6 linked regions of the Bombyx mori genome follow. The protein of the gene in region 4 purifies or fractionates together with the protein of the main gene of each other region. This does not show direct contact. Links are inferred from orthologs where the notes say so. Each region holds a gene or a part of one and is shown on either strand. Other genes may lie near its edges.

Region 1 (4,162 bases), on a different chromosome or scaffold from region 4:
AAAAATCTTTGTACGGATTAAAACAAGCTCCATTTACATGGAACAAAACTTTTACCCAAGCGATGTTTGATTTGGGATTCAAGACAATCAAAACAGATCGATGCGTTTTCATAAACGAAGATAAATCAATAATAATCGGACTATTCGTTGATGATGGACTTGTCATAGGAAAAGATAAGAAAAAGATCGAAGCTATTTTGAAGAAACTTGAAACCAAATTTCAAATGAAAAAGAATGAAAATCCAAGTACTTATCTGGGTATGGAAATAAAAAACTCAAAAGAAGGAATCATTCTTACTCAGAGATCCTACATAAATGACGTACTGGAAAAATACAACATGAAAAATGCCAAACCTTGTGACACGCCCGCAAGTAGCGATTCAAAGTCGATACAGGAAACTGCCCAGGAGAAGGAATATCCCTATAGGGAAGCAGTGGGAAGTTTACTGTACCTGTCTACCAGAACCAGACCAGATATCGCACAAGCGGTCAATCTAGTTAGCAGGAAGGTCGAAAACCCCACTAGAGAAGACGTTACAAAATTGAAGAAAATATTCAAATATTTAGTGGGAACCAAACATAAAGGCATTTTATTCAAACGAAACAAACCGATAGAGAGCATCGATGCTTACAGCGACTCGGATTATGCTGGAGACCCATTGACGCGAAGAAGCACTTCTGGTTCCGTGCTAATGATAGCCGATGGACCAATATCATGGGCATCCAAGAGGCAGCCTATAGTAGCGCTATCGTCGACCGAAGCCGAGTACATAGCCGCAGCCGACTGTTGCAAAGAGGCATTGTATCTCAAATCTCTATTACAGGAAATAACCGGTATGGACATAAAAATAAATCTACATGTTGATAACCAAAGTTCGATTCAACTTGTGAAGTCTGGATCCTTCAACAAAAGGTCTAAGCACATAGACGTGCGGTACCATTTTATACATGAACACTTCGTGCATGGATTAATAAATATTAGCTACTGTCCCACAGAAATTCAGTTAGCTGACGTAATGACAAAACCATTGTCAAAAGTAAAATTTGAAAGACACTGTGCAAGATTAATGCATGTATAGAAACGTGTCTCGGCAACATGAGTGAACATCAGGAGAAGGTGTTGGAAGGTCGTGATGCTGTCCACGTATAATTGTCTATGCTGCACTATATTTAAATTTGTATTATGTTCCTTTTTACTTTTGATGTGCGGTGTCATTCTGAATTATATTTTCTCTTATACAAGTCAACACAATGTTTTCAAGTATTTAATTTACGTTTTAATTAATTGCTATAGCCGCTAGTCCACCCTATCATACCCTTCGGTAATATTTCGCTTTATCGCCATTATACCACTGTGCACTCCAAGCATTATTCAAATATGTTTTAGGGAGGCTAACTAAATCATGACTATAATTTTTGAAACTATAAATATCACCACAATTGATAGCCTCGTTTGCAATTCTATCAACTATTTCATTTCCTTTAATTCCGCAATGGCTAGGTATCCATACAAATGATACTGTAAGATTTTGATCCATACATCTCATTAACAATTTTCTGCAGTCTAAGAGAATAGGGTAAATAGGTTGAGATTTAAAAGGAAATTTTGCAAGAGCCTGTAAAGCACTCTTTGAATCGGTTAGTATTAATGTTTTCTTTAGTTTAAATATCAAAATGTATTCTATGGCCTTGTATATTCCAAAACATTCACCAGTGAACACTGATGTTTCAGATGGTAATTTTATCTTTTCAACTATTTTTGATTGAGAATGATAGACTCCTACACCAACACAACCTTGAGGGTGTTTAGAAGCATCTGTATATATATGGTTATAGTCATTCCAATCTTGGTCTATTACGAAATTAAAGTTAGTATTTGGTTGCGGTTGGTACTTAGAAACACCCATGTCAAGATGAATATCCGGCTTTAAAATCAATGCCTTATAGTTTACACAAAATAGAGGGAAAATATGAGAGTGATGAGTTGGAGTTTGAATAGACAAATATTTTCTATAGCTAATTATTAAACATGGTAACTGTTTATGTTTCCAAAATGAAGAGGATTCTATGAGCTCATTTAGAGTTTTAAGTTTGGTAATAATGTGATTATTTTGGATTTGTAGGGATTTGAAAACGAATTTATCAGATAAATATTGACGTCTCAAATGAAGAGGAGGATCAACACATTCTACCTGTAATGCTGTAACAGGACTAGATTTCATGGCTCCAGTGATAATTCGGAGTGCTTTAGACTGTATAGAGTCTAGTTTTTTGAAAGCATTCACATCCCCTGGTTGAAGTAAAAAAGTACCATAATCTAAAACTGATCTTACTATGGCATTATATAAAAGTTTTAAATTGAATGGGTGGGCACCCCACCATACACCGGCAAGAGAACGCAAGATATTCATATTACTCAAACACTTGTTTGTAATGTAATTACAATGTTGAATTCCATTTAATTTTGAATCTAAAATTAAACCTAAAAATTTAACATGACTGTTTACAGAAATTAATTCATTCTCATAGAATATATTAATTGGAGGAAGAGAACGTTTTCTAGAGAATACAACAATAGAACTTTTGGAGGCAGAAAGGGAAAGTCCATTATTATCTAACCAAGATTTAAGAGTTAGAAATGAATTCCTAAGGGATAAGCAAGCCTTATGTATGTCTTTATTGCAAGTGTACATAAGGAGGTCATCAGCATATTGAAGAATTCTTACTTGATTTCCAAGGGTCTCTTCCAAATCACAAGTGTATATATTGTATAAAATTGGACTTAACACAGATCCTTGAGGGAGACCTCTCCATAAAGTTCTAGATTGTTGTGAATCTGAGGAGGTAGAGTTTAAAATGATAGTTCGATTTGACATTATAGTAATAATCAAGTTAACTAGTCTAACAGGAACCCTTATTTTCTGTAATTTGTAAAGGAGTGTAGGAATATGTACATTATCATATGCAGCGGAAATATCCAGAAATCCAGCTACAATAGATTCAGTGTGTGAGAAAGCTACCAAAATATCCACTATAAAGGTAGCAAGATTGTCCATTGTGCTTTTACCCCTTCTAAATCCGTTTTGACTGTCACTGAGTAAACTGTTACTTTCCACAAACCATTCTAATCTAATTTTAATTAAATGTTCTAAAATTTTCAACATTACAGATGAGAGAGCTATGGGTCTGTATGACAATACATCTGATGAAGATTTACCCGGTTTGAGAATGGGTAAAATAATTTGTTTTTTCCATGACTCTGGGATAACACATGTAATGAACATAGAATTTATAAGGTTGAGGTAATATGTGAGACTAGAATCACTCAAATGGGCAAAGAAAGAATAAGGAATCTTATCATCACCTGGAGCAGAGTCCTTAAGATTCGAGATTACCCCCTTCAGTTCATTAAATGAAAAAGGTAAATCAAAATCTGAAACTGGATCTGAACATGAGAAAGGAAGGACAGACGGAATAAGAACTAAACATTCTTCTGGAACATAAGGGGGAGCTAATTTATCAAGAAACTTGTCAGCCAGATCATAAGGTAAGTCTTTGACTGTATTTTCTTTATATGCAGATCTAAATCTTCTTATTTGGTTCCATACTTCAGAAGGTGAGATATTAGGACAAATCGAAGCACAAAATTTTTTAAAACCTTCTCGTTTCTTTTTTAATAAAAGATTCCGAGTACTATTGATACTTTCTGTTAGAATATCAAAATTTTCTGTAATAGTTTCTTCTAAATATAATAATTCGGCTGCTTTTCTCTCCTTTACCGCCTGAGTGCACTCCCGGTCCCACCAAGGAGGAGAAGGAATAAAAATACCAGAAGGGCTTTTAGAAGGGAAAACTTCATCAGCTGTTTCTATAAAAGCAGAAGCTAAAATTTTTGCTTGTGCATCGGAATCTAAGTTATTAATATTTTCACAGTTGGCAAGTTTAATATCCAAACGCGATTGAAACGTTTTCCAATCCTCATCTGTTACTTGAGATAGATTGTACTTTATTGTAGACTTATGTTTAGAATGATCCTTAATTACTATGTTATTGTTTGAAAATGAAATAATAATAGGATAGTGGTCACTTCCATAACTTAGTTTTAATGTTTCCCAGGACAAAGACGGCACCAGAGATGGGGAGGAAATAGATATATCAGGAG
Region 2 (3,928 bases), on a different chromosome or scaffold from region 4:
TAGTTACATTTCATTTATTCACAAGGATGTCAAACACAATTACAGCACAGGTTTTTTGCCTTTTTTTATTACTTAGATAGGTCATTGAGCTCACAGCCCATCTGACTTTAAGTGGATACGGGAGCCCCGCCACCCACCGTGGGAAAAGGCATCCAAGCCTCAGTGTGCAATTACTGCCCCACCCTTGAAAAACGAAACACATTACTGCTTCAAGGCAAAAATAGGCAGAGTGGTGATACATACCTATACGAGCTCATGGGATGTTGTACTGCCAGCTCAACTTCAGTTCTCAGGGAGAGTGGTAGCATCAACATTGTCTTGTGGATATAAAACTCTTGTGCTCACAGCTTTTTTTTTATCTTAGGGCCAACAATGGCTGGGCAGCAGCCACAGAGCAAGGTTAAATGGAAATCTTCCATATCAGAAGACAAGATCTCAAGTTTACTGATATTGTGGCTAGTAAGTGTTTGAGGGAAAACAATATAAGAAACATCTTCCACCAAGCAGATAATTTTGTTCCATACACCAAAAGTCCAAATATTGTTTGTAACTGGCTTAACACATGCAAAGCTTCTTTTGAAAATGCCATTAGTGTGATTTCAAAATTTGTCAAATATTTTCTGTCCTACGATGGCACGAATTGGGAAGCATAAGGATATTACACCACATTTATTACTAAGGCTGTATGTCTCTACCTATATTTTAATCATCACAAATAGCTCAAACATACAATACAACTAATGCCACACAGTACAGAGAAAGAAAAAAATCACAAAGCAATTAAGACCTTACTAGAAATTACAGTGCACACGCTTTTAGAAAGATTAAATTTCATTCAGAGGAGTGAGAAAAATCATACGACTTAAAGTGAAGTCATATCCAAGACAAGATTTGAATGCAATCTAATGCATCATAATAGTGAAATCAGTCACTATACTTATCAAAGTACTAATCAAAGTATTTTGTAATTAGACTTGATGATTTTGATTCATAATCTATATATGTTTTTGATTATCTATATATATAAAAATGAATTGCTGGTTGTTAGTCTCACTAAAACTCGAGAACGGCTGGACCGATTTGGCTAATTTTGGTTTTGAATTATTTGTGGAAGTCCAGAGAAGCTTTAAAAGGTAGATAAATATGAAAATTCTCGGAATTCAATAAGAATAACAATTTTGTTTTTCCTTTGATGTATCCCCCGTCGGACGGATTCCTTGTGTTTGTTTTAAGTTTATTTTATACAAAAGTTTAGGTCTTGGCACTGCGAAGTCTGCCTGGTCAGCTAGTAAGAAATAATTATTTTATCCAGAACTTCAGTTCGTAACACTATTTACTAAGGTCATACAAGTAATTTAACTGCTGAAGCTGATGTATGGCTTACCTCAGGAGGTTTCATATTTAGCACCTTAGTAATCCTTCCCTGCATGATGAGGAAGTGTGGGTTATTGACATTAAGCTGAACCGAACAGAATAAGTCACTGACCCTCTTGTTTTGGACATTGATACCATTTATAAGGTATTTATTCTTACCACCCATCACCACCTGAAATTTATTTTTCAAATTGTTTCAATAATTGTTAAATAGCATGTTCTTTATATTAGTTTGATTAAGCAAATTTGGATGAGGAAATATAACTTTTGAATGCTATACGTTATTTCTTGTTTTGTTCAGCAAAGCTTATGAAATTTAGCTTGGTTTGCTAATAGTAAAAGTCAAGCTACTTGATCGAATGATTTGTAAATGATGTATTAAATCATGTCATCTCAAACATTTGAATATTGATTTATTAATCATGTATATATTCTTGGAACTATTGTATTCTTGGAACTTTTTAATAAAGTAATTTAATGGAAGCTTCATGAACCTGGAAACTTAGCAAATGGTTATTCAATTTCTAGATGTTTTGTTGATTACTAATTACTATTCCAATATAACTATGTCTTACCTGTCTAGTGACAGTAATCTCATCATGATTCTCATAGCCAATCGGACATTGTCTCTTATCTCTGTTGTCGAAGGTAATGCTAACTGTTGCTTTGGTGATACCTGCCTGCCCATGCTTGTAAATAAGCTCCTGCAAGCTGCTTGCTCGTACCTATTTTTTTATAATAAATTAATTAATAATTTAGGCACAAATTTTGTTAAACAAGCATTTTGACCAAGAAGCAACTATGTTTTATTGTTGGAATATTCATATTATTTATAATTGTACCCAGAAAGAAGCAGAAAACATCATTGTCGAGTTTACTTCGCATCAATCGATATTATTGTTGTACTAGAACTTGAAAAGTGTATGTTTTTATTTTCAAGTCATCATGTATTCTGATGCCCATAGGATTTATGTCGCATATTTGATAGGTAATTGAATATTATCATGAATAAACGCTGCTACTATATCGCCATAACCCTTAACAGTGAATGGTATTTGGCGGGAAATAAATCAGCAACAGTTGTTATTTTGTTAGCAATAATAAACTACAACATACATTCGATAAATTTGTGATTCCAAGTACGAAACATATAGAATCTAAGATATTTGATTTTCCAGTCCCATTTAGACCAGTGATCGCATTAAATTCTGGATCAAATCCAGTAATTTCCACTCGGTTTCCGTAAGACTTGAAGCCATCTAACACTATTGACTTAATAAACATGTTCAGATCATAAAAACAACAGTTATAGAACAAGAAAATTCATTAAAAATTTAAACTCATACGAATTCATCAAGCGTTAGAGAAGCCGTTGATTTTTTTATGAAATCAAAATTGATTTGTGTTTTTAAAATATTTTTGACATTCATTGATTAATGACATTGACACATTATATTTTTCTCGACAACATTTTTTTTAAAGATTTTAATTCGATTTAGATTAACAATATGGTAAAGAGGTAAAAAATTATAAGTGTACCGATTCTTTTTCTTTTCTTTATTGCATACTAGCTGACCCGGAAGACTTCGTAGTGCCTCTATCAATAAATAAAAGACTTAAACCTTTGAAGAAAATAAATTTAAAACAAACAAAAGGAATCCGTCCGGCGCGCGGCGGGGGGGACATCAAAGGAAAAACAAAATTGTTATTTTTATTTAATTCCGAGCATTTTCATATTTATCTATCCTTTTAAACCTTCATTGGACTTCCACAAATAATTCAAGACCAAAATTAGCCAAATCGGTGCAGCCGTTCTCGAGTTTTAGCGAGACTAACGAACAGCAATTCATTTTTATATATATAGAAGAAGAAGATAGATAACATCTCAGATTCAAATGTAATAGATTCTGATTCGAACTAAAATAAATTGTAGTAAGTACAGAAAATGAAGTATTTTAACCATGTAGTGAAAGTTCATAAGCGCAAAAAAAATCATAGGCCGTGGCTTCGGCCGTGGACGTGGACTTGACAACTTCCAAAAAGTCTACAAACTCAGACATTAAATCTCACCCTTTTATAAGTTGTAGCCCAAAGAATAAAACGCCCGATGAACTAGTATCATTATAGCGTAATCGTATAGCATTAGAACTAATGTCCAACAAATCGAAAGCAGGGCGGATGGATCTACTAGGACTTGTCGATGTAAATGACAGTGGCTGATTTTTGCACGAGCGTGAGCTAGAATGTAGTCAATAGTGTCTTTAATAAAGCTGTTATCATATAGCATCGATATCAAGAAATAGTGCTTCTATATCTCAAACAGAATAAGATACCCAGCGAGGATGAACTCTTCTCCGATGGCAGGCGGTGCGATGGTAAAAGTGAGATGATGGAATCATCTCAAAGAATTCCTCATAGCACTCCCCATGGAACATACGGTACAAAATACAGAGAAAAGCGAAGTCCTTCCGCAGACCCAGAGGTTCCAAATGATCCGTGAGATCCGGGATTATCGACAATCCGAGCGGCCCTTTTCTATATAGAGTGAAATCGA
Region 3 (3,500 bases), on a different chromosome or scaffold from region 4:
TGATATTTGCTCGGTAGACCGACGGTCCGAATATTGTTGTTCGGAACTTGTATATATGCAAGCTTATCTTGAAAATATCGTAAGTGAGATTCAGGCATCTGTCAAATATCTTGCGTTGTATGATGGCTACCCGCCAGTGTCTATCGGATCATAATAAAAAAAAAACCTAAATAGCCATTTGATATTCACGGCATATTTACGGAACACATATCTCGTGGATAAAGAGCTCTTACTGTATCTGTACTATATCTGCGAGGAGTGAAGTTGTGTGATTTGTTTTATTTTGTCTATTGTAATGTTTCTTTAGGATTAAATGTGTAGTAACGGTGGTTTATTAACTGTTTAATATCTGTGAAAGTGCACAAATGTGGGAAAATGAAACAAAGCCGCTAGACGTAACTTCTAAAAAGTCCACTGAAAATATCTTAGTAGATGACCACTATTTTACTGAGATTATATTTCATCCCATATCATCTCATTTCATTTCACTCCATATTTATCATTTTTCATAAAAAATAATAATTTAAATTAAAATAAGACATGACTTAAATGTCTTAGTTACCAGGTCATAAAATCCCTCAAAAGAAAAAAATATATATTTTTTTTCTTTTGTAGGCAGACGTGCATACGGCCCACCTGATGGTAAGTGGTCACCGTCGCTCATGGACGTCAGCAATGCCCGTATTTAATAATATGTAATATTATTATAATATATTAATATGTAAAGGTCACCGACCTTAATATAGTTTGCCACGATCGAAACGTTTTTGAAGTCCAAGGCCGCGTCTATCTCGTCCATGACGTACAGAGGCGTTGGTTTGTAGTAATGTAAAGCGAAAACCAGGGCCAGTGAGGATAACGTCTTCTCGCCGCCCGATAAATTCGATATGTTCTTCCAGGACTTGTTCGGCGGACGCACGCTGTAAACAAAACAAGAGTTATTTAGGTGTCGTGAGATTATTATTTTTTTTACTGGCCGAGTCCCGCGATGTTATCTGCGGTTATTTTCGTACCGCGAGTGACGCCGCGGGGCTAAGCAAGTCTAGAAAAAGTAGCCTAAGTTACTCCTTATATCATGAGCTACCTATTAGTGGAAGTCTCGTCAAATTTGGTCCAGCCGTTCCAGAGATTAACCGGAACAAACAGACAATAATTTTTTTTTTTTTTTCTACCTATCCTGATAGCCTTGAGAGGCTATTTCAGCTTCACCCTAACGTTTGTAGGTGAGCTCACGGGGCTCAAACCGGAGTGTTGCTAACACTGCCCCTAGCAAGAGCAGAGCTTCGCAGAATCTACCACCGGATCGGAAACGCGACCCACTGAGAAGATCCGGCGAGAAACTCAGTGGGCTGTGCCTATGGGCTAGTTCGCTCGTCGAGCCCTTCGTCGCAAGCGACGGGTTCGACGAGGACGGTGACCGGGGAAAAATTGTGAAAAATTGTATGTGTTACCGACAATCTGTATAATACAGTATTCTATACAATACTTAGGCAATGTATAGAATACCTAAAACGTTAAGGTAAAGTATGTAATATTTTTCATTTTATACTTTGCCTAGGCATTCTATACAAAACCGAATGCGCTGCCCGTAATGTGTGTAAAAGAACTGATTACTTAACTTTTAACTAATTACTTAGATTAGATTATGTTAGTTAACCCAGAAGAATTTTAAATTCAATGTTATTTGATTGTGATTTTACAATAAATACCTATGAATATAAAGATTGTTTTTAATCAAAACTAACTACTTATTAATTGTTAATTTTAATAAAGTTGATTTTAAGCAAATCTTATGTGCTATTTTTGTCTGTCATTTTATACTCTTCTGCTTATTTACTTACATAACATTGATAAATACAGGCCCAAATATAGTTATTTTACACATTATGTATAGATTTACTTTTTATAGTTTAGATGAGTGGACGAGCGCACGGCCTACCTGGTGTTAAGTGGTTAGCGGAGCAAAAAAAAAAACTAGACGGTAAATTCCGCCACCTACCTTATATATGATATGAGTACTAAGGTCTCAAGTATAGTTACAACGGCTGCCCCGCCCTTCAAACCGAAACGCATTACTGCTTCACAGCAGAATAGGCAGGGCGGTGGTACCTACCCGCGCGGACTCACAGCACATGCTACCTACCACTAGTCGAAATTTTGCATTTCAGACATTTTAATCGCATATATCGAATCGGCGCCATTGCCTTAATACTCTTTAGAAATAAACTTACATTACGAAGAATTAAACATTAAAATATATGCAATTGAGACTTCGAGATGAAGACCAGTCAAGGGAATTATAATTTTATTACTAAACACATAAGAGGCTTTATATAAAAATACTCCATAAATTATCATAGGCCAGTACGAATATATATATTTTTTTCCTTCCTATTCTAGTAGCCTCTAGGGGTTATTCTAGATTAGCCGAGCTTGTAGGTGAGCTCACGGGGCTCAAACCTGAGGACGTTGCTAACACGAACCCTAGCAAGAGCCGTGCTTCGCAGAATCTACCACCGGATCGGAAACGCGACCCACTGAGAAGATCCGGCGAGAAACTCAGTAGACCGTGTCTGTGGGTTAGTTTACTTATCGAGCCCTTCGTTGCAAGCGACGGGTTCAACGAGGACGGTGACCGGTGCTTGAGGTACCTAAAAGCACCGTTAGTGGATCGGGAGGATCCAAAATGACGTGTTTGGGGCGACGTCGACTGCTTTCCATTCGGTCCGCAGGATCGGGTATAGTACGATCCTTAAAACAAAATACCTGAATATAATCCCTTCGGAGAATGGATCCAGCGAGTCAACAAGTTCTAGTTCAGCGTCGCCTCCCAATGTTATCATTTGGTACATCTCTTTCAGTTTCATTGTTATCGTATTGAATCCTGGAAGGAAAAGTTTATTTTTTATTGTACAGAATTGGAGTTTCGAACTTTACACTAAACTAGCGGCCCGCTCCGGCTCCGCTCGGGTCTTTAACAAAAATTTCAACGATATTTGACGTTGTTTTATTTTTTTAAATAAAAGAACACTTATTGCGACATAACTACAATAGTTAGACATATGCTGTCCCGACACTTTTGGTAAATAATAATGTGTTCTACAAAGCAGTAGTACATTATTTTATTATACCATCAATAGTTTTCGCAGGCACGCGATGTAAAGATTATTTTAGGTAATTTTTGGAGTTTACTCCTTTAGAATCGATTTACATATATAGGCCCGGGGTATGAAAATTATGGGGACCAAAATCGTACTAGCATGTCACACGAAATGCGTTATGCGCCTGATTGGCTCCTGATTGCGTGATGCGTGCGCGCGCCAATCAGGAGCCAACGCGCGGCCGCGTTATCGCAGGTGACGCCGGGCTGCTGCGCCGGCAGTCCGCCACAAAGCCTCGTACTGATCGCGCGTTTCTCTCATTATTGTATTTTCATATATTTGTTAGTCGTTTGTTTTGTGTCTCGTTAATTTGTTAATAATCTGTAGTGTATCGTGTTG
Region 4 (3,500 bases):
TTCCGCAATGCTGATTGCCCGTAGCCACGGGCGTGACGTAAGGTGTATGCGGTTGGTACAATATGAACGCCTAAGTCCAATGCAATGAAAGCGCGTCTGTCGTCATTAGTGTGCACGTTGAGTGGTTCTGGAGATCTCGACAGCACATCTTCGGGTCGTCCATACGGTAACTGTTTACCGTCTGATGACCACACGTAGACTAGCCCGTGAGCGCCAGGGTTCACCCACTCACAAGTGCCAGCATTGGTTCCGATGAAGTACAGAACGCCGTTTTCATCGAAATCGTGCTAAAGGTAAAAATCATATTAATTTTATAATTTTTTTATTGCTTACATTGGTGGACGAGCTCACAGCCCACCTGGTGTTAAGTGGTTACTGGAGCCCATAGACATCTATGACGTAAATGCGCTACCCACCTTGAGATATAAGTTCTAAGGTCTCAGTATAGTTACTACGGCTGCCCTGCCCTACAAGCCGAAACGCATTACTGCTTCATGGCAGAAATAGGCAGGGCGGTGGTACCAACCCGTGCGGACTCACAAGAAAAAATAGTATCACCAGATATCACCAGTATCTTAGCTCTTTGATTAACTCTGAATATGAAATAGCTATCGTTAAAGGCTTACGTCGTAGGTGAAGCTTAAAGGAGCTTCAGTTTTTATTTTTTGCACGAAGAGGAAGGTGGACCGCTCCATGTCGTACCACTGCCGCGCTACGGACTTGGCCAAGAACCGTTCTAGCTGACGGACGGTAGTGAGGGCTTCCACTTTCAGGTTACGGCCGCTGTTATTATTAGCATTGCTGTCTTCGCTGATTTCATCACTTTCACGTTCGACGCGCAAGCTGTACACAAGGAAGATTTTGTTTAATACAGTTCGATTAAAAAAGTAATTATTACTATTTTAAATCGACAACTTTTTTTGCATACTCCACCACCATCTGAATGCAGTAATTGGAATATGATAATAACTTTAGAGGGAAACAGAAACGTTTTCGAATATAGCAGCTACGTTGGTTGCCACAAACCCTAATTATTTCAAGAAGCAACTTAGACATCCGTTGGCAATTAAATGATCAATCTTCTTCAATTTGGAATTCACATATGAAAGGTCCTTCGAAATTCCCTATGACTTTCATAGGATACAGAATAATAGTTCACTTGTTAAAACTGCGTTTAAACTGCGATGCAACCTTCCCGATCCTGCGGACCGAATGGTAAACAATCGACGTCGTCCAAAACACGTCATTTCGGATCCTTCCGATCCACTATCGTTGCTTCTATGTACCCCAAGCACCGGTCATCGTTCTCGTCGAACCTGTCGCTTGCAACGAAGGACTCGGCGAGTAAATTAACATAAAGGCACAGCCCACGGAGATTCTCGCTGGTTCTTCCCAGTGGGTCGCATTTCCGATCCAGTGGTAGATTCTGCAAAGCACGGCTCTTGCTAGGGTTCGTGTTAGCAACAACGTCAGGTTTGAGCCCCGCGAGCTCACCTACTAGTTCGGTGAATCTAGAATAACCCCTCGAGGTTACTAGAATAGGTTCAGACTCATACCGTATGCGCTTAGTGAGGTGGTGCAAGGCAGAGGCGGGGGCGGGCGGCGCGTCGTGCGGCGCGAGCACCGGCAGCCGCTCCACTGACTCCAGCACGGCCACCAGCCGCTCGGCCAGCGCCGCGCCAGCCGCGCCCGACGCCCGGCACATCCACGCGCTCACAACGCGGCTGCGCTCCGACAGGTGGCCCGGACCGTCTACGTTTGGAAACTCGTTTTATTAACCTTCTATCTGCTTACTAGTTTACAGCTTAACACGTAGAAATCATCAAATAAATTGATCAAATCGACAGGTTTATAATAAGAATAACTTACCTATCTGATTTTAATTTACTTAATTAAGAACCGTCCTGCTCATTTCTGCCACGAAACAAGCAAACATATCACTCCAGTTTGAACGTCTAAAAGGTTTAGAAACCAACAACACTTAAGTTTCGTCACTGAATTATTCATTGTGAAGTCATGTGCTCGTTCGTGATAATGCGGTCGCCAGTGTCCCAAGAATTCGAAAAAAGTTATAAAAAGCGTTCTGTACCTATATATTAATTTTTATGAAGTGACTGACCGTTAACCTGTGGGGAGAGGACCTGTAGTAGAGCAGGCGCTAACCCAGACGACTGTAACTCATACGCAGACAGATGCTCATCTCCACACAGCAACTCGGTCAGCTGATCCAGCGATTCGTTGAGCTCTCGTTGCCAATCTTCTGCTCGACAAAACAGACATTTTATAAACCAATTTTACAAATATAATTAACATATTTTCATGTCAATGTAATAAATGATAAACTTTTAAGCATATATGCGGCTACAATGACTCTCAACGAAAATTACATAACACCTTTAATCAGGATCCTGTCACTATGGGAAATAATCCACAAATAAACGTAAGTTTGTTGTAAATATAATGAATATTTTATAGAGTGCATGTATATTGTGCATGACTGACTGGAAGGCTGGGTGGCGATGCGTTGCATCCTGGCGAGCAGCGCGCGCAGGCGGGCGACGGGCGGGCGCGGCTGGCGCGTCACTGCGCTCGCGAGGTGCCGCGAGTACAGCGCACGCGCTCGCTCACATACCTACAAACCACACACATCTGTATAGGTGCGCGAACGTGACCTCCATGTATTAAATAGTTACCGAAGTCCCCAAACATCACAACGTGGACTCAGACGCACCTTGAGGGTGTGGTCTAAGTATCAATTGTTTAGCATACCGGCGGTCTTACCAGAACTCATAATTATTGATCCGCGGCCGAAATAGACCGGATGGTGGTATCCACCCTTGTAGACCCCCAATACGCCTTACTCTTTTTTTTTATTGCCCTTGTAGGCAGACGAGCATACGGCCCACCTGATGGTGAGTGGTTACCGTCGCCCATGGACTTCAGCAATGCTAGGGGCAGAGCCAAGCCGCTGCCTACCGCTACTCCCAGTGGGTTACGGTTGACGATCACAGTTTATTGGTATCACAGTTACAGATATCTGCTATCTATCTCTGGCGAGTCTGGTAAATCATCTTTTAAGTTTCGTTTATTATTATTCGAACATTATTAAAAAAGACATTTAAACATACACACACTAAGAAAACGGACATTATTCCGGTTTAATAGTTTATTGTTATATTTTCTTCTTTGAGAGAGGTCCTCTTATAAACTGTATTTAATAAATAAAAAATACTCACTTGTGCTTTAAGAGCTTCGGTTTTTGCTGATATTCGAGAACGAGGTTTTGTTGGTGTTGAATTATTGGTAAGCAATGACCTTCTGTCAGCCCAGCCACTGGCGATGTCAGGACCTATATGGTGTATTAATTTGGGTTAAAAAAAATTATAATTAATTAACCTGCCACTGGACCTCTGACTAAGATAAAATTTGAAAATCTGTCAAAGTAATGTCCAGATATTTTTAATGCATACAAAGACAATCATGCCCCGTCTGGTTCGTGT
Region 5 (3,500 bases), on a different chromosome or scaffold from region 4:
AAGCTCTTGTAGTGAATTTTAATTTAGGATTATACGTGAAATTAAAATATCAATTCATAGAGGGCGCTACCTTACAATTATTTACTAATGACAAAATTTTACATATACTTAAGACGTTTAGGATAATTGTATTTTAATTTTGGAAGGTTTCACTTCTACCACGTGTGAATTGCACACATGTATTTTTATTTTATTTTTTTATTGCCTTTGTAGGCAGACGAGCGTACGGCCCACCTGATGGTAAGTGGTTACCGTCGCCCATGGACTTCAGCAATGCCAGGCGCAGAGCCAAGCCGCTGCCTACAAATAACATAGCTAATTTGAATTACATATTTTCAGGTGAAAGTATCGAAATGTCGTTACGCCATTTGGAATACCGATATGTCAATAGTGGCTCTGTTGGGCAAGCACACGGTCACACTATGCACCAAGAAGCTGGAGCAGCTGTGCTGCATCACCGAAGGGGCCAGAGTCAAGTCCGGCGCCTTCGACGATTCCACACCGCAGCCCGTGTTCATATACACCACGGCAAATCACATCAAGTACTGCTGTAAGGACGGGTGAGTGTCTTCTGGTCAGTAGAATCGCTAGGATGTGCTGGAAGTAGTGGTACATTCCAGTTTGAAGGAACGATTTATCGCCTGTGCTCATGTTTTAAAATCTCTATGGTCTTCGCTAACCACAATGGCGACTGTCAAAGAAAACGATGCAATGTTTTTTTTCTTTCTTAAGCTATTGCATAGCTTTTATCGCGGGCTTTGAGCGCGGCGACTAAATCAAGAAGTTCCGTAACGAAAATAAAACCTAACACCCTCCACTCCGCCTACCATGTAGCTCGCGTCTAACACATTCACACGTTGCGCTTGTGTAGTGTTTGTAAATAAGCGCGCGGCGTGACGTCGCACTGCATGCGCATCATGAAAAGTCTGCCCATCTCTCTCTCGCGCGTGGTCTAGCTTATGAGTTGAAGGGGAGAGTTAATGTTTTGCTTTTGTTAATGTTTATAAATATAGCGTATTCTTATTTTATTATTATTTTTAATATTAAATTATCATTGTTTAATTATAATGGCATAAGTTGATAAAATATGCTATGCCATAGCTTTACCGCGACAGTCCCCGAGTGCCACACGTGTTTTTTTTTTCTACATATTCTATTAACCTCGAGGGGTTATTCTAGATTCACCGAACTATTAGGTGAGCTCACGCGGCTCAAACCGGAGTACTGCTAACACTGGCTCTACCAAGAGCAGTGCTTCACAGAATCTACCACCGAATCAGAAACGCGACCCACTGAGAAGATCTGACGAGAAACTCAGTGGGCTGTGTCTATGGGTTAATTTACTAGTCGATGGGTTCGACGAGGACGGTGACCGGTGCTTGAGGTACCTAAAAGCACCGTTAATGGATCGGGAGGGTCCGTAATGACGTGAGTTTTTGTTGTTGTTTTTCCCACAGCGATTACGGCATCATCCGCACTCTGGACGTGCCCGTGTACGCGGTGCGCGTGCTGTCGACGGAGACGGGCGCGCGCGTGGTGTGCTTGGACCGAGAATGCAGGCCCAAAGTACTCAACATCGACCCCACGGAATACAGGCTAGTTTTAAAATAACTATATTCAGATTAATTATTAACACATAACGTTCATCATCTGACCTCAAATTAAGATCCCCTCTACCATCATTCATGATAATCGGTTGCTCTTGGCAGAGCAGTCGTGGTCATGTGGAATTCTTGCTTATATGCCTTGATAGATGTTTTTCATAGTTTGCGAATCGAGACCCGGCGCACTCACGCGTTAAGTGGGGTTTCAGTAAGGTCTTCCACCTGATCAGTCCAACGCATGGGGATTCTTCCACGAGATCTCTTCCTTTCCAGTGAGTTTCGCTCAGTCCACATACGGCTATTCCACACCTAACGAGTTCCTTTTCTATCATTATTAGTTTACCCGGTTGCAGCAAGCCACGGACATTCCAGTTACCTATTTTTATGATGTTTTTAAGCATAGATACAGGTTTTCCAGTAGCATTATTTCCATGCAACGCCTGGTCGCTTACATTGACATGGCCGGTAACCCATTTCACACTGTTTGTCCCGGACACAAGACGGCGCCGATTGCCAAGCGGCTACCTCGGCTTACATTTTTTCGTATTCTTCCTATTCATGACTTTCTTGGGAATATAGTGCAGTGGTTTCTCGTGAAAATAAATAAATAAATAAAATAAAATCCCTTCTATAGACCTTTATATTTTATATTAACAATTTTTTTACCATGTATGTATTATACGCGTATACATCATACGTGTATACATCCCACAAACATTTTCCCGATGTAGGCGGAAAACACGTTCATTTATAATATAAAACCACACCCTGTATCGCTCCATTAATTGATAAGGAGGTTTAAGATAAGGATTTAAGTAAGCTGTGAGATGAGATTGATTGAATGAGAATTTTAGATTATAACAAAATAAACTGGTCATTTGAACTGGTCCAATGATCGGTGTTCTTTAGAATTCAGGCTTTATCTCATACGTGTGTGTACTCTGAAAATAAAAAGATTAAAGTCTTAGCTTTGTACTATTGGATGTGGACTTTTGGCTCGGTAGATAGATTTAAGTGATCAAGTTAAAAAATCACCCTGTATATGTTCAATAGAGAGAGAATACACTTTATTTCACACCAAAACACAATTTACATTAAAGAAAACAGTCAAAAAGCAGATACATTTGTATAATAGGCGGTCTTATCGCTAAAAGCGATCTCTTCCAGACTACCGTTTAATTTACAGAAATTCTGCAAAATATAAAAATATAGCAGGTATGTTGCGATGTACCATAGACAATACATTATTATAGAAAATATTTACATATAGATAAACAGATATATACCAATATACATACTTACATACAATACATTATATAGGTTATGAACAAAATAATTTTTTTGGTTTTAGATTCAAATTAGCTCTAGTGACGCGCCAATACGATCAGGTGTTGCACATGGTGCGGACGGCTAAACTTGTCGGGCAGAGCATCATCGCCTACTTGCAGGAGAAGGGTGCGTTGTGGTTTATGATTTTTTTTTTATTGCGTACTGGGTGACTTGAGATTTGAGTTCTAAGCTCTCAGTATAATGGAGCAGCCCCACACTTTAAACCAAAACGCATTACTGCTTCACGGCAGAAAATAGGCAGGATGGTGGTACCTACCCGTGCGGACTCACAAGAGGTCCTACCACCAATAATTATAATTTTGCGGGTTTGATTTTTATTACACGATGTTATTCCTTCACCGTGGAAGTCAATCGTGAACATTCGTTGAGTACGTATTTCATTAGAAAAATTGGTATCCATACCGGACGTATCCTTTAGGCCACGGCGACTTTAAAATTGTACCTGGATAACTTATGACAGGCAGGAGATCCTTCCCGGTGGCAGGCCTTATGACAGGCAGGATTATTAGGCTAAACTCGCCTCACGCGGCCCAAATAGTGCCAAGC
Region 6 (3,500 bases), on a different chromosome or scaffold from region 4:
AAACCGTGCAAATCCTAAGGCCTCCCCCCGGAAGGAATTCACAACGTTGACCCCGTACACGATGATCGGACGACGCATCACGTGCGCGAGGACGAACACATGGATCTAAACGAATACGATTTTTTTTTATTTAACAACTAGCTGACCCGGCAGACTTCGTAGTGCCTCAATCGATAAATAAAAGACCTAGTTTTGTATACAATAAACATAAAACAAACAAAAGGAATCCGTCCGACGGGGGACACATCAAAGGAAAAACAAAATTGTTATTTTTATTTAATTCCGAGCATTTTCATATTCAACTACATTTTAAACGTTCTCTGGACTTCCACAAATAATTCAAGACCAAAATAAGCCAAATCGGTCCAGCCGTTCTCGAGTTTTAGCGAGACTAACGAACAGCAATTGATTTTTGACCCGCCCTCGCTTAACGCTTATATAAACCTTCCTCTTCAATCACTCTATCTATTAAAAAAAAAAACATCAAAATCCGTTGCGTAGTTTTAAAGATTTAAGCATACATAGGGATATAGGGACAGAGAAAGCGACTTTGTTTTATACTATGTAGTGATCTCCATCTAGGGTGTCTCTTGATGTGATGAAATTAAGTGGTAAATTAAACTTCGGCGGCTTTGTATGCAACAGTTCGCAATTTCCAACACTAGTCATCATTAGTGTGTGATTAATCGCTTAGTGAAGGATTTATTTTTATAGGATTTTATGACCTGGTAACTAAGACCTTTAGGTCATGTCTTATTTTAATTTATATTCTTAATTTTATGAAAAATGATAAAATGGAGTGAAATTAAATGAAGATGATTAATTTGAGACATTAATCAACTGGGATGAAATTAAATGTAGTAGTTATCATTTTAATGCGAATTTTGAGAATAGTTTTAGGATGCCAACATACAAGTTCTCATGTGTTTATATACTGGGTGGGTATGTCGAATTTCCGGGGTCAACCCCATATAATGACTGGATTAAACGACTGTTGATGAGCAAGACATCAAATTTTATTGTTACATGCGTCACACAAGGGAGTTCACCTGGTGCAGCGGCGTGCCGGGTCGGGCGGCGGACGCTAATATCCTGCTCCACTCCGCCCTCAGCTGCCCCTCCTCGGGCGCGTAATGTAACAGCGACGCCTGCATTCGCTCCCACGCCTGCCAACGCTCGTAGAAACTGAAAATAGACAATACGATCTTGTGAAGTCGTCGTGGCCTAAAGGATAAGACGTCCGGTGGATTCGTGTTGAGCGATGCACCGGTGTTCGAATCCCGCAGCCGGGTACCGATTTTCCTAATGAAATACGTACTTGACAAATGTTCACGATTGACTTCCACGGCGAAGGAATAACATCGTGTAATAAAAATCAAACCCGCAAAATTATAATTTGCGTAATTACTGGTGGTAGGACGTCTTAAGCCATGTGTTCGATTGTTAAAAAAAAAACACACATATCGACGCTTGAAAGGCAAACGTGACTAAGCGACAATGCGTGAACTTTACAGTAGACTAATTTAAAGTTGAAATACCCGAAAAAAATCTATTTTAACGAATCTAGCTGTATGATAGAAATGATTTGAATAGACCTATAAATATATTTTTTTTGCGCATCGAATATGGTCATTGCCTGTCATTTATGTACGAAGCAGCTATTGTCGCTTAGTTACGTTTGCCTTTCAAGCGTCGATATATAGTTGTAGTAATTAGTCACAAGCAGCTATGAATTGCCATACGTATATGAACGTTATGGTTATACAAATAAAGCTCACCTCCTGTGGGCTTGGTGCAGCGAGTCCGCCAGCGCGGTCCGGAGCGCGTTGTTCCTGTCGAACACCCCGTAGGCGGCCTGGCACACGGCGTCGGGCAGGCAGTCGCCGGCCGAGCGGTTCCAGAGGGCGTACAGCCGGGACCCTGGACGATAACAACACACACACACATAACACGTGGCGCCATCTGTCGTCCGCGGGCGGTACTATACAGGCGTCCCCTGATTTATACCGTCAAAACAGAATAAACTCAAGCATTGATTATTCTCAGAGATGAGAATTCAGCGATTCATTACACTCTATTCACACTACATACTGCTTCTAGCATCGGTAGTATTAGTATGTTGTAATAGCGCAATAATATTATTTATATTCCTACCAAACCATAATTTCCATATCATGTACTGAATGACATTTATTTCGTGAACCAATTCTGCATCTCAATTTAAAGTATGAGGTTCTCAGGTCGAAATTAGAATCTGCATTAATTGTGTCTTTATAGACATTCGAATGAATGAGAATGAATTTATGTGTCCATATTAACACAAAAGTATTACAGTGATGCTCACCAAGGTTAACGGTGAACTCCAAGCTCCAGTTTATGAGTGGAGGATCCGCTTCTAAAGTCTGTTGTGCTTCTCTGTCCAGTAACTCGGAGAATAGCTGCTCTTGTATCGCAGCCGGTAACTCTTCGATATCTGAGAAATTGTAAATATTTTAAGGTGTTTTTTAATTAGTATATAATTGACTTGACTTATAAATGACATCTTTGAGATTTAATATAATGGTTTTTCAATTGTGTAATTTTTGTGGGTATATTTAAATTTACGGTCAACATGAATGTAACATTTTTTTTCGTTTTAATTTCGATTTATTATTATTTATTAATTTAGATTAGATGAATATTAAAAAAAATCTAATATTTAAAAAAAGACATGCCCGCTGAGTTTCTTGCCATTTCTTCTCACGACGGAGGCTACTTTTTGTGAATTGGCGGTAGTTCTTTTTGACGTTCTACAAGTATGTCCTTTCATTTATGTTGAATACAATTTTTTTTATCGTGTTTTTGATTTCGACATCCGAAATTTTCTTATACAAAATACAGGTAGGCGGGCTTACCAGCAGGCAACGAGAAGGTACAGAACTCGTTGATGTATCGACATGGAAAATTTCCTTTTTTCTGCCTTAAGCACCCCGCTATGTGCCGACGTATCGCTGACGCCAGGTCCGGCGCTGGAACAAAGGACACAAGATCAGATACATACTAGAGCTTTGATTAAATTTATTGCGTCAAACGTGCGCATTAAAGGCGGCTCTAGCCCATTATTGCTTTTTGAAAAATGCTGCGGATTCCCTGGACGGTACATCGGACAAACGCATCAATCCTGAAAGAACTAGGCGTCTCTCCACAAAACTCTCCACCACTTTTTTTTATTGCTTAGATGGGAGGACGAGCTCACAGCCCACCTGGTGTTAAATTGTTACCGGAACCCATAGACATCTACAACGTAAATGCCGCCACCCACTTTAAGACATGAGTTGCAAGATCTCAGTTTTTACAGTACAATGGCTGCCCCGCCCTTCAAACCGAAACGCATTACTGCTTCACGGCAGAAATAGGTGTGACGTCATTACACTAGCGCCCTCTAGTAAGCACACAACCACAATGGGCTAGGTACAAATGTGACAGGTTCATTGACAGTGCCAAGACCAGCGCCTCCTAAC

The links.
Region 1: the proteins of E3 ubiquitin-protein ligase Ufd4 (region 4) and uncharacterized protein LOC100862770 purify together in Homo sapiens (affinity purification with mass spectrometry; 4 studies listed by BioGRID, with this or other methods). This does not show direct contact. The link is inferred for Bombyx mori from reciprocal best matches to the Homo sapiens genes HECTD1 and ZNF622.
Region 2: the proteins of E3 ubiquitin-protein ligase Ufd4 (region 4) and structural maintenance of chromosomes protein 2 purify together in Homo sapiens (affinity purification with mass spectrometry; 3 studies listed by BioGRID, with this or other methods). This does not show direct contact. The link is inferred for Bombyx mori from reciprocal best matches to the Homo sapiens genes HECTD1 and SMC2.
Region 3: the proteins of E3 ubiquitin-protein ligase Ufd4 (region 4) and structural maintenance of chromosomes protein 4 purify together in Homo sapiens (affinity purification with western blotting; 3 studies listed by BioGRID, with this or other methods). This does not show direct contact. The link is inferred for Bombyx mori from reciprocal best matches to the Homo sapiens genes HECTD1 and SMC4.
Region 5: the proteins of E3 ubiquitin-protein ligase Ufd4 (region 4) and COPA purify together in Homo sapiens (affinity purification with mass spectrometry, with the first as the bait; 3 studies listed by BioGRID). This does not show direct contact. The link is inferred for Bombyx mori from reciprocal best matches to the Homo sapiens genes HECTD1 and COPA.
Region 6: the proteins of E3 ubiquitin-protein ligase Ufd4 (region 4) and ubiquitin thioesterase trabid purify together in Homo sapiens (affinity purification with mass spectrometry; 5 studies listed by BioGRID and IntAct, with this or other methods). This does not show direct contact. The link is inferred for Bombyx mori from reciprocal best matches to the Homo sapiens genes HECTD1 and ZRANB1.

The regions. Positions count from the first base shown.
Region 1 is NC_085121.1:8,128,278-8,132,439, forward strand, and holds the start of uncharacterized protein LOC100862770, read right to left. Parts: upstream 2,801-4,162; 5' UTR 2,727-2,800; intron 1-2,726. UniProt on the Homo sapiens protein: Pre-60S-associated cytoplasmic factor involved in the cytoplasmic maturation of the 60S subunit.
Region 2 is NC_085131.1:14,294,976-14,298,903, forward strand, and holds the start of structural maintenance of chromosomes protein 2, read right to left. Parts: upstream 2,801-3,928; 5' UTR 2,659-2,800; coding exon 2,491-2,658; intron 2,100-2,490; coding exon 1,950-2,099; intron 1,547-1,949; coding exon 1,385-1,546; intron 1-1,384. UniProt on the Homo sapiens protein: Central component of the condensin complex, a complex required for conversion of interphase chromatin into mitotic-like condense chromosomes.
Region 3 is NC_085134.1:4,033,132-4,036,631, reverse strand, and holds part of structural maintenance of chromosomes protein 4, read right to left. Parts: intron 2,885-3,500; coding exon 2,767-2,884; intron 921-2,766; coding exon 737-920; intron 1-736. UniProt on the Homo sapiens protein: Central component of the condensin complex, a complex required for conversion of interphase chromatin into mitotic-like condense chromosomes.
Region 4 is NC_085118.1:10,509,877-10,513,376, forward strand, and holds part of E3 ubiquitin-protein ligase Ufd4, read right to left. Parts: intron 3,350-3,500; coding exon 3,237-3,349; intron 2,633-3,236; coding exon 2,503-2,632; intron 2,261-2,502; coding exon 2,120-2,260; intron 1,753-2,119; coding exon 1,557-1,752; intron 844-1,556; coding exon 627-843; intron 288-626; coding exon 1-287. UniProt on the Homo sapiens protein: E3 ubiquitin-protein ligase which accepts ubiquitin from an E2 ubiquitin-conjugating enzyme in the form of a thioester and then directly transfers the ubiquitin to targeted substrates.
Region 5 is NC_085132.1:3,498,794-3,502,293, reverse strand, and holds part of COPA (coatomer protein complex subunit alpha), read left to right. Parts: intron 1-339; coding exon 340-560; intron 561-1,457; coding exon 1,458-1,595; intron 1,596-2,955; coding exon 2,956-3,059; intron 3,060-3,500. UniProt on the Homo sapiens protein: The coatomer is a cytosolic protein complex that binds to dilysine motifs and reversibly associates with Golgi non-clathrin-coated vesicles, which further mediate biosynthetic protein transport from the ER, via the Golgi up to the trans Golgi network.
Region 6 is NC_085132.1:7,256,624-7,260,123, forward strand, and holds part of ubiquitin thioesterase trabid, read right to left. Parts: intron 3,009-3,500; coding exon 2,895-3,008; intron 2,474-2,894; coding exon 2,345-2,473; intron 1,921-2,344; coding exon 1,779-1,920; intron 1,186-1,778; coding exon 1,050-1,185; intron 106-1,049; coding exon 1-105. UniProt on the Homo sapiens protein: Ubiquitin thioesterase, which specifically hydrolyzes 'Lys-29'-linked and 'Lys-33'-linked diubiquitin. Also cleaves 'Lys-63'-linked chains, but with 40-fold less efficiency compared to 'Lys-29'-linked ones.